2 linked regions of the Schizosaccharomyces pombe genome follow. The protein of the gene in region 1 purifies or fractionates together with the protein of each later gene. This does not show direct contact. Each region holds a gene or a part of one and is shown on either strand. Other genes may lie near its edges.

Region 1 (3,481 bases):
AGGGTCCTAACTATGATGCTGAGCACGTTGCCGCCGTTCGCAAAGATCTTGAGAAGGCCAACCTTCCTCCTCGTATCATGATCGATTGCTCTCATGGCAACTCAAGCAAGAATCATTTGAACCAACCAAAGGTCTCCAAGAGCATCGCCGAACAAATCAGAAATGGCGACTCTTCCATTGTTGGTGTTATGATTGAATCTCATATCAATGAAGGTCGTCAAGATGCTCCAATCCGTCCTGGCGTTAAGGATACTCTCAAGTACGGTGTCAGTATCACTGATGCTTGTGTTAGCTGGGAACAAACTGCTCCAATGCTAGACGATCTTGCTGAAGCTGTCCGTGCTCGCCGTCAAAACCAAAAAAGTAATTAAGACATATAAATGTTATATTCAGCAGTTTTAATTTTTTTAATTTTTGAAACTTATTTTTTCGTAACATACAACAACTGAACAATTTTGGCTTAAATACGGGTTCTATTTATTTTTTTTTGTTTTTTTTTTCTTATATCGTACACAGCTTCTACCAATAACACCTTCGTTTTTAAGAATTGCTGTGCAAGTTTTGCGAAATGTTTGATCGTTTCATATGTTTCTAATCGATCTCCTTTAGCTTGTAATCAGCCATAGGCACATTGGACACAAAATTTAAAACGTCTATGAGTACAGTTGTACAAAGATCAAGTTTATTAGTAAACAATAAAAGAATGCAACATCTATTTAAATAACCTAAATCACAACAAACTATAGCCAGAGATTAATCATAATAAACGAAGTAAAACCGTACAAAAGCAAACCAGAATCCAAAACAAATACATTCCATAAGTTGCTATTTAATTTTTGCGTTCAGCAGTTACACTGACCCATCGATTCGTGGAATCACTATTGGGCTCCTTTTTCATTTCTTCTGCTGCATTTAAGGCCAAATACTTTCTTTGTGCTAGTACCAAATCGCGTAAAAGCTGAGGACTTGGTTTTTTGGCATGCATAAAATTACAAAGGCCACCCCGCTGACATTCCGAAGTTTCGTGTTGCCGGCAACATGCCTCGCGAAAATCAGTTACAGGAGATAACTCGGCGTAGACTGGTCTTTGGGAATACCATCGGGAATTTAAATCATCAATAGCATTTTGGGCAGACTCTTCATACTTGAATCTTACATAAACATTTCCGACTAAGTGATCTCCAACATTGTCACAGACGACTAATTGTTCAACTTCACCGTATTTTGAAAACTCACAAAACATGTCCTCGTAGAATGCATCAAATTGTTCTGCAAGTTCACGCTGCGTGAACTTTTTGCCATTTGGTTCATGAATTGGGTTTTTATACATGTTGGGACATAAGATCGTTTGACTAAAATTTGGTTTGACATGTTTACGAGAGCAGCGTTCCCCATGTCTACAAGCTCCTATTTTATAATAGAATGAGCAATTGACTTTATCTTGCTCAGTACCATAAATACTTGCCAAATGACTTGCCATTTTTATATGGTGGTTATGAAATAAAGTGATCCAACATGATTCTAGTCTTATAATGGTGGCGTGCAACATCTCGTTAAGTTACGCAAATTTTCTAAATTATTCTTGCACACTATTGTCAGCAGTACTACACTACGCTATGATACACTACGTTGCGTATCACTATATGTCACATGTTCTAATTATATATCGTACCATGTATGATACGATATGGAGATTGATCTTAATGATAATCTATTAAGATCTATATTATCTGAATACTATAAATAGAGCTACTGCTGAACCTCGTTCCTCAGTTCAGTTATGAGCTATATTAGTGATAGGTAACATTATAACCCAGTTAATACAATACCTATACTCAGTTGCTACTTATATAACCTGTGTATTGTAATATAATAGATCACAAGGAAAACTCACCACAGTTCTACGTATCCTTAAATCAGATACCAAACTGCGTAGCTTACAACTATCCGATATACAGATATTCCCTTGTATTTCCCTAATTATATTCGAATTTGGAAAATATCAAGAATAAGTAGTTACTGTTATTAGACTGATGTGCCAACGATTCAAAAGAAAAAAAGATAAATTATTCTTAACACAGCACATTCCTTTTTTTTGCTCAGGAAATTTACTCGAGAACAAATTGTTTCCAAATGTCACGATGCCTGAGATGTACGCAAATGAACAACATCGGTAGTTTTACAATATTTAAAACAATCTATAGAGAATTTCTTTAAAAAGGACGGAAAATTTTTTCGAATGCAAAATTAATATGGAGTTGAGTATAATACGTAAGTTAGGGATTCAGTCATGCAGAGATAGTACTGTTCCAAACGCAATTAAGCTATTCCATTTTTCTGAAACGAATAAAACGCGGCTTAAGGTGTTAATGTAGCTTTCTTTTACGAGAGGGAAAGCATTCTCTAATTCAATTTTCACAAGTGAGGTTCGATTTCTTTCAAGATCGTTTCCGATTGCGTTAGGAGCTTTTTCTTGACTGTCTGTAAAGCAATACAGTTTGGTAAGGACTGCGTGACAGCCGAATAGGGCTATTACATGCATCGACTTTCCTTTTTCAAGAGAACCGTGAAACCAAGTTGCATTAACGTAAGCAGTTTTCGAAGAAGTAAAGGCATCGATACTATCAGCAATTAAAATCCCAGGACTATTTATTAGAAATACAAGAATTGCAAAGAACTTACCATAAATTGGGTAATGTAGGGATTTTGGCTTGAATCATATCCCCAGCAACATTAAACCCTTTGGGATTTTCATCACTGCTCAGTCCTTTTTTGATTAACATAAAATAATTGAACACCTTCCGTACCTGTGATTTGTGTTTCTAATCTCCCTGTGCCTACATAAAGCTTTTGCGAATCCTGAAGCATGCCTGAATGGATGCTACAGTAAATATGTGATTGATTTTCTGGCAAAGGAGTAATGTGTGAAATTGTTAAAGAGAGAGGTAGATTAAGAAGAAAATTCCATGTGCCATGATTTGTATCTGCTTCTTTATCAATTTTGCCAAGCAATGTATCAGATTTATACCACTGGGATAATTTTTCTTGACTAATGGATGTAAGATTGGTTCCTTTTAGTCCGCTTATCGGAATGAATTTTGATTTCTCAATTATTCCGCAACTTTCTTTCAGAAAGCTCTGAATCGAGTTAACAAGATTAATGAATTTATTTTCATCCCACTCAATTTCATCCATCTTAGTGATAGCAAACATATAGCTTGAAATAGATAAGCCATTCATCAATTGTAAAATGGAAGATATTCCATCAAGACCTTCCAAAGGATTCAGACAATCAATGGTGAAAATGGCTGTGTTCATTACTTGAAACAAACTTGAATGTTTTAGAAAATTATCTCGAGAACTTGCATTAGTAGTGAAGATTCCTAAAGGAAAATCAATAATAGTTGAGGAGTAACTGTTGGAAAATGTTTCAAAATCATACCATTTCGTTTTGGTGGACTTTAGCACTGAGCTCAAACTT
Region 2 (4,805 bases), on another chromosome or scaffold:
GCCAACTTTTCCAAGCAAATGCCAGAGTTTGGAACAGAGGTATTAGAATATTTTCGTTTGAGTGACCGGTTATCGAAGAGATTGATTTCTGTAGATTATGATTATGCTACAGTCTGCGAAACGTTGGATAGCAAATTTTCTAACTGGAATTTACCGCACAGGCTAGTACTATGGACTTTACGGTGTATGAAAAATTTAAACAATATTACAGCTACCAGTTTCCTCTTAATGCATGTAAGTCTATTCTTAGGTAGTCCTATGAACTTGCAGCCGGTGGAACCTACGCAAGAGGACATTGCCAGCGTTTCTCGTTTTATAGCGACAATATATTCGATATGTATGTTGATATTCAGTGAAGACAAGGAACAGTCTTCTATTAGTTTTCAGGAATTTGTTTCATTCAGCCCTCTATCAAGCACTTTAAACTTTGCTTTATTTCACCAAGCAGCAAGTAAGCTGAAGACAGGTAAAAGCCCACTAAGCATTGTTACAGATAAAACTACTGCCTCATTAACCTATAAAATGTACAAAGACCTCACGAACGATTACTCTGATATTTACATGATAATGGATATTTGGAAACCAAAAAGGAAACGCAAGACTAAAAAAGATCAATCATAGATATACATTTTTGTCACATGAATTACAATCAAACAAAATTTTTTGGGAAACACGTTATAAAATTAATGAATTAAATTCAAAACATATATCGAATACTTTTAAACCGTAAAAATTAAAAGAAGCAATTGGCTTGCATAAACCTTTTTTTTCAACCTCATTATAATATGCGACAAACTATTAACAAATACATATATTCTATCGATTGGAATATCCGTTTGGCATTGAAACACCGGGTGGGGCATTTAAATTAGAGGACTCCGACGTATTGTATGAGCCTGGTGCACCAGGGGGAGCTGTTGCACCAGGTATACCAGGCATAGCAGGAACAGCGGGATATCCAGGAAATGGTGCGGGCATGCCAGGAGGCAAAGCCATTCCAGGTGGAACCATGGGTGGTTGAGACATATTCAGGTTCGGCATACCAGGCGCCCCAGGAATTGGTGGCAGAGGCACACCAGGAGGAGCGAATGTAGTAGGTGGAAGGGGAGCAGAAGTACCAGGGATGAATGGCGCATTTTGTGAAGGTACTAAATTAGAAGGCTGTACAGCGGACTGTTGAGTTGGCTGCTGCCAAGGAGGTAGTGAACTTGGATTCATAGAAAGGGCAGGGGCAGATTGTGGAGCAGCAGGTTGCTGCCAAGGGGCTGGATTTGAAGGGGCGGCTGATGAAGCTGGTTTGGCCCAAGGAGCAGGACTAGAAGTGCTGCTAGATACCGAAGTAGACGCAGCAGCCCAAGGTGGAGGGTGACCTGCTTGAGGACTAGCAGCTCCACTTTCGGAAAATTCAATAGATTTTTGGGGTTCACCATTACCATTGGAAATAGCCGATCCCCCACCAAGCTCTTGCATAAGACTTTGATATTCCCGATCAGCAGTAGAATCAGCCATTGGAGGTTGTTGATCTCTAACAGGACAGTCGCGAGCAATATGGCCAATACTTCCGCAATGCCTACAAACAATGTTCATTGTGTGATTGATACGTTCAGGACAATCGAAACGACGATGACCCACGTTACCGCAATTTTGGCAAACCTGATTTTCATCGTCTCGTAAAGTACCATTAAGAGTAGCAAGCTGACGAAGTTGATTTCTTTTTAAGTCGTTTTGGCCTTCTGGAACAGAAGCGGCCGTTTGGATAACATTATCAATTAGTTTTATGGCATGGTTAATTTTATCTTCAGAGTCTGCGGTAACAAGGCAGTGTAAATCTTCTTCCATATTACCTCGGACAGATGGATCGCTTCTTCCTTTTCCTTCTTTAACACTTCCTTTACCACGAATAGCAATTTTGGCTCCAGATTTTGCTTCCATATCCTTCAAAGTGTGGCCACGAGGACCGATCAGGAGGCCGATGAAATTAATCTCTGGATAATCCTTAACGGGAACGTAAACCTTCTCTTGTGTTTTTGCAGGTCTTCTATAATCACTGGGAGCACGAAAGCCTGGCACCATTTTCATTGCGCGCTCAATAATCCGGTGACGCTCATCCTCTAGCTTTTTCTTGTAACGGATTTCTCGAGTATTCAATCGGCGACCATGGTTATCGTATTGCGGAGGAGGAGAAGGGGACCGTTCACGGTGATGAGGAACAACATCACCGGTTCTAAGCTTTTGCGTAATTTCTTCCAATCGAACATTCAAAGAGTATAATTCTAATTGCTCCATAGTCATACAGGATTTAACGGCAGTTTCCAGCTCCATTTGGCTTGGTAACATTTCCTCAATCGGGGTTGGATGACCCCAATAATGTTTTCTATAAGCTCGACGACCTCGACCATCGTGATAGCCATCCGGTCTATGATCCATTCTGGAATTGCTTTTATAAGAATCGCGATAACCATTACTCATTCCATTTGCATCAGGCAATGGTGGTAAAGAATCTGGTTTTTCGTCAAACCGCCTCCTTCCTAAGGGAGTATTATTCGAACCTAAAAATATTAATAATTTGCACTAATAATCTCTTAAAACACTTACCAGTAGACCCTACTGACCTTGAATTCAGCATTTTAATAAGACTGCTAGATCGAAGACGGGCGTTGGTTCTTGGTGAAAAGTAACGACTGAAATGTAGGAGGCAAGGAGGCAATAAAGTAACGGACGAAACTGAAGATACGACACGTTTGAGACAAACGAGTGCAATAACCGTCTCGCTAAAAAAGAATTAAATGTATAATTACTTGAATAAATTTTCAAATGAGACTATTCAGTCAATGATAAGTTCAACCGAAATTTTTTTTTTCTAACAATACAGCAAGCAGTTCTTGCACTTGTTTCGATATTCAGTTATTGATCTTAAATCGGTTTAGTGTATCTCTATTCATTGCGCTAAATAAATCTAACGTACTTTATTATAAACAGCTTTAAGCATCATTGCAATTTGGATTTACAGAAACGAGACTGGCGGATTACGGCTTAGATATGATATGGAAACATTCATCTTTCTTAAAAAATAATCAGACAATGATGGAGAGTTCCACCTCTGTTTGGTAGGGTAAAGCGTTGATTCTTCTTTTTTTTTGCGATTAAAACATACTTTAGAGTTCGCTAAATAATAATTCAAGCATCAAAGTTAAGCGAATAGGAATTGTAAAAGAGAATATTGTAATATTATATTGTAATACCAGTATACAGGCATATCCTTATTTTGTATCGAACAATAGATAGGAGGTTTTTAGAGGGTGAGTAATGCTCAAGAATAAGTCAGTAGAAAAATTTTTGATATTTTTCTGAATTTGGTTCATAATTAGATGGAAGTGCAAACTCTTATTGCCCATGACCATTTTGTTGAGCTTGGGTTGGAATTATAGCGAAATCCAGCAAGGTTTACATTGAGAAACCAGAATCGAAATTAAAAGAAATTGGTTTTGGAATGATAAATAGTACTTATGTTTTAGTTGATAATGAGAAACATTTTTGTAAAACAGGCTGCGGGCATACAATCTTTTTTTCATATTCCAAGCGACATTCCACCACTCGGCATGCAAGCCTTCCTTATCTGATCAGATAATTTGCCTAGAGAAAAATTTACTCATGAAGAAAAATAAGGATTCAGTGTGTTTAGTGCTTTGTTTAAATTCTATTAATTTAATTCTTTACTATCAAACTCAAAAATGCATGATACCATAACATCTTAGGAACATTGGAAAGGATCTGATTTTCATTAAGAAACGTTTTTGCCAAATGTTCATACAACTCCAATATGACCCGTTTTACTGTGTGAAAGAAGCAGAGTCAGGATCGTAATTTTTTCGTAAATGAATCAAGCTGCTTGCATTTTATCAAACCACAGAACCTAGTGTGAAAGTTCGAATTTGGGGAATACCGCACTTCACCATATGCTGAAAAAAGTCGTTAACAAAAATTGATTCCAAAAGATGTCCGGTACGCTGAGTGATCGAAACAACCGGCTCGTTAGAAAGGCATTCCAGTAACTCGTTAGATCTCTTATAAAAATTTGATTCCCAATTTTTTTACGGCTCGTTCCGTCTGTTTCATCCATTTCCCACATTCATTCGCATTTTGGTATTGAGCCGTTAGTTGATATAATTCTGGATTTTTCGTTTGGTAAGACGCTAATGCATCTTTAAGTTTTGGTTGGGTTAATTTAAACTAATTATCTGAAATTTATAGTTATCATTCCATTTTTTCGGTCGACTGCGAAAATATTTACTTTTGTCGTTTTATAGATAGCTTGGATTGTATTTGTTGGGAATCAATTTAGATAAATATTTTGGATAGTCTTTGGTGCATTGTCGAATTTTCTCAATTCTGTTTTGGATTTCCAATTTTAACACAGTTCAGCTTCATCGATATTCATTCTTTTTTTTCGGTTCAATTTTGCAAATACGCTACATATTATCATAATAATGCCAATTTCTAGTCATTCTCATAGTGGGCAGTATGTTTGCTTTTAATTTGTAAACAAGCGATACATGTTGATGTGTTTGCCTGAGATTTTACAGATGAATTTTTTTTTTCTTTTATTCAGTGACAAACCACTAACTTTTATTGAAGATTTTGTTTGCATGCCCAGGGCAAACTAGAAGATGTAATTCAGGAAGCCATACAACAAGGTTTTCAATCGTTTTCATTTACAGAACATACCCCTAGAGATCGAGTTGAAGACTTATATCCCGAAGAAGTAAGTGTGCTTGCAGGATGATGTGTGAAACATTATTATTATT

The links.
Region 2: the proteins of uaf2 (region 1) and bpb1 purify together in Schizosaccharomyces pombe (affinity purification with western blotting; one study listed by BioGRID). This does not show direct contact.

The regions. Positions count from the first base shown.
Region 1 is NC_003424.3:5,323,610-5,327,090, reverse strand, and holds uaf2 (U2 auxiliary factor small subunit Uaf2), read right to left. Parts: upstream 1,498-3,481; 5' UTR 1,481-1,497; coding exon 830-1,480; 3' UTR 656-829; downstream 1-655. Other genes in the region: SPOM_SPAP8A3.07C (phospho-2-dehydro-3-deoxyheptonate aldolase), read left to right, coding at 1-371; ski7 (ski complex-interacting GTPase), read right to left, coding at 2,285-2,645, 2,683-2,767, 2,808-3,481.
Region 2 is NC_003421.2:555,580-560,384, forward strand, and holds bpb1 (zinc finger-splicing factor Bpb1), read right to left. Parts: upstream 2,670-4,805; 5' UTR 2,627-2,669; coding exon 2,596-2,626; exon of another isoform or gene 2,550-2,595; coding exon 817-2,549; 3' UTR 662-816; downstream 1-661. Other genes in the region: XP-G family protein ast1, read left to right, coding at 1-621; SPOM_SPCC1672.01 (histidinol-phosphatase), read left to right, coding at 4,488-4,519, 4,636-4,762. UniProt on the Schizosaccharomyces pombe protein: Necessary for the splicing of pre-mRNA. The BPB1(SF1)-u2af59-u2af23 complex has a role in the recognition of the branch site (5'-UACUAAC-3'), the pyrimidine tract and the 3'-splice site at the 3'-end of introns.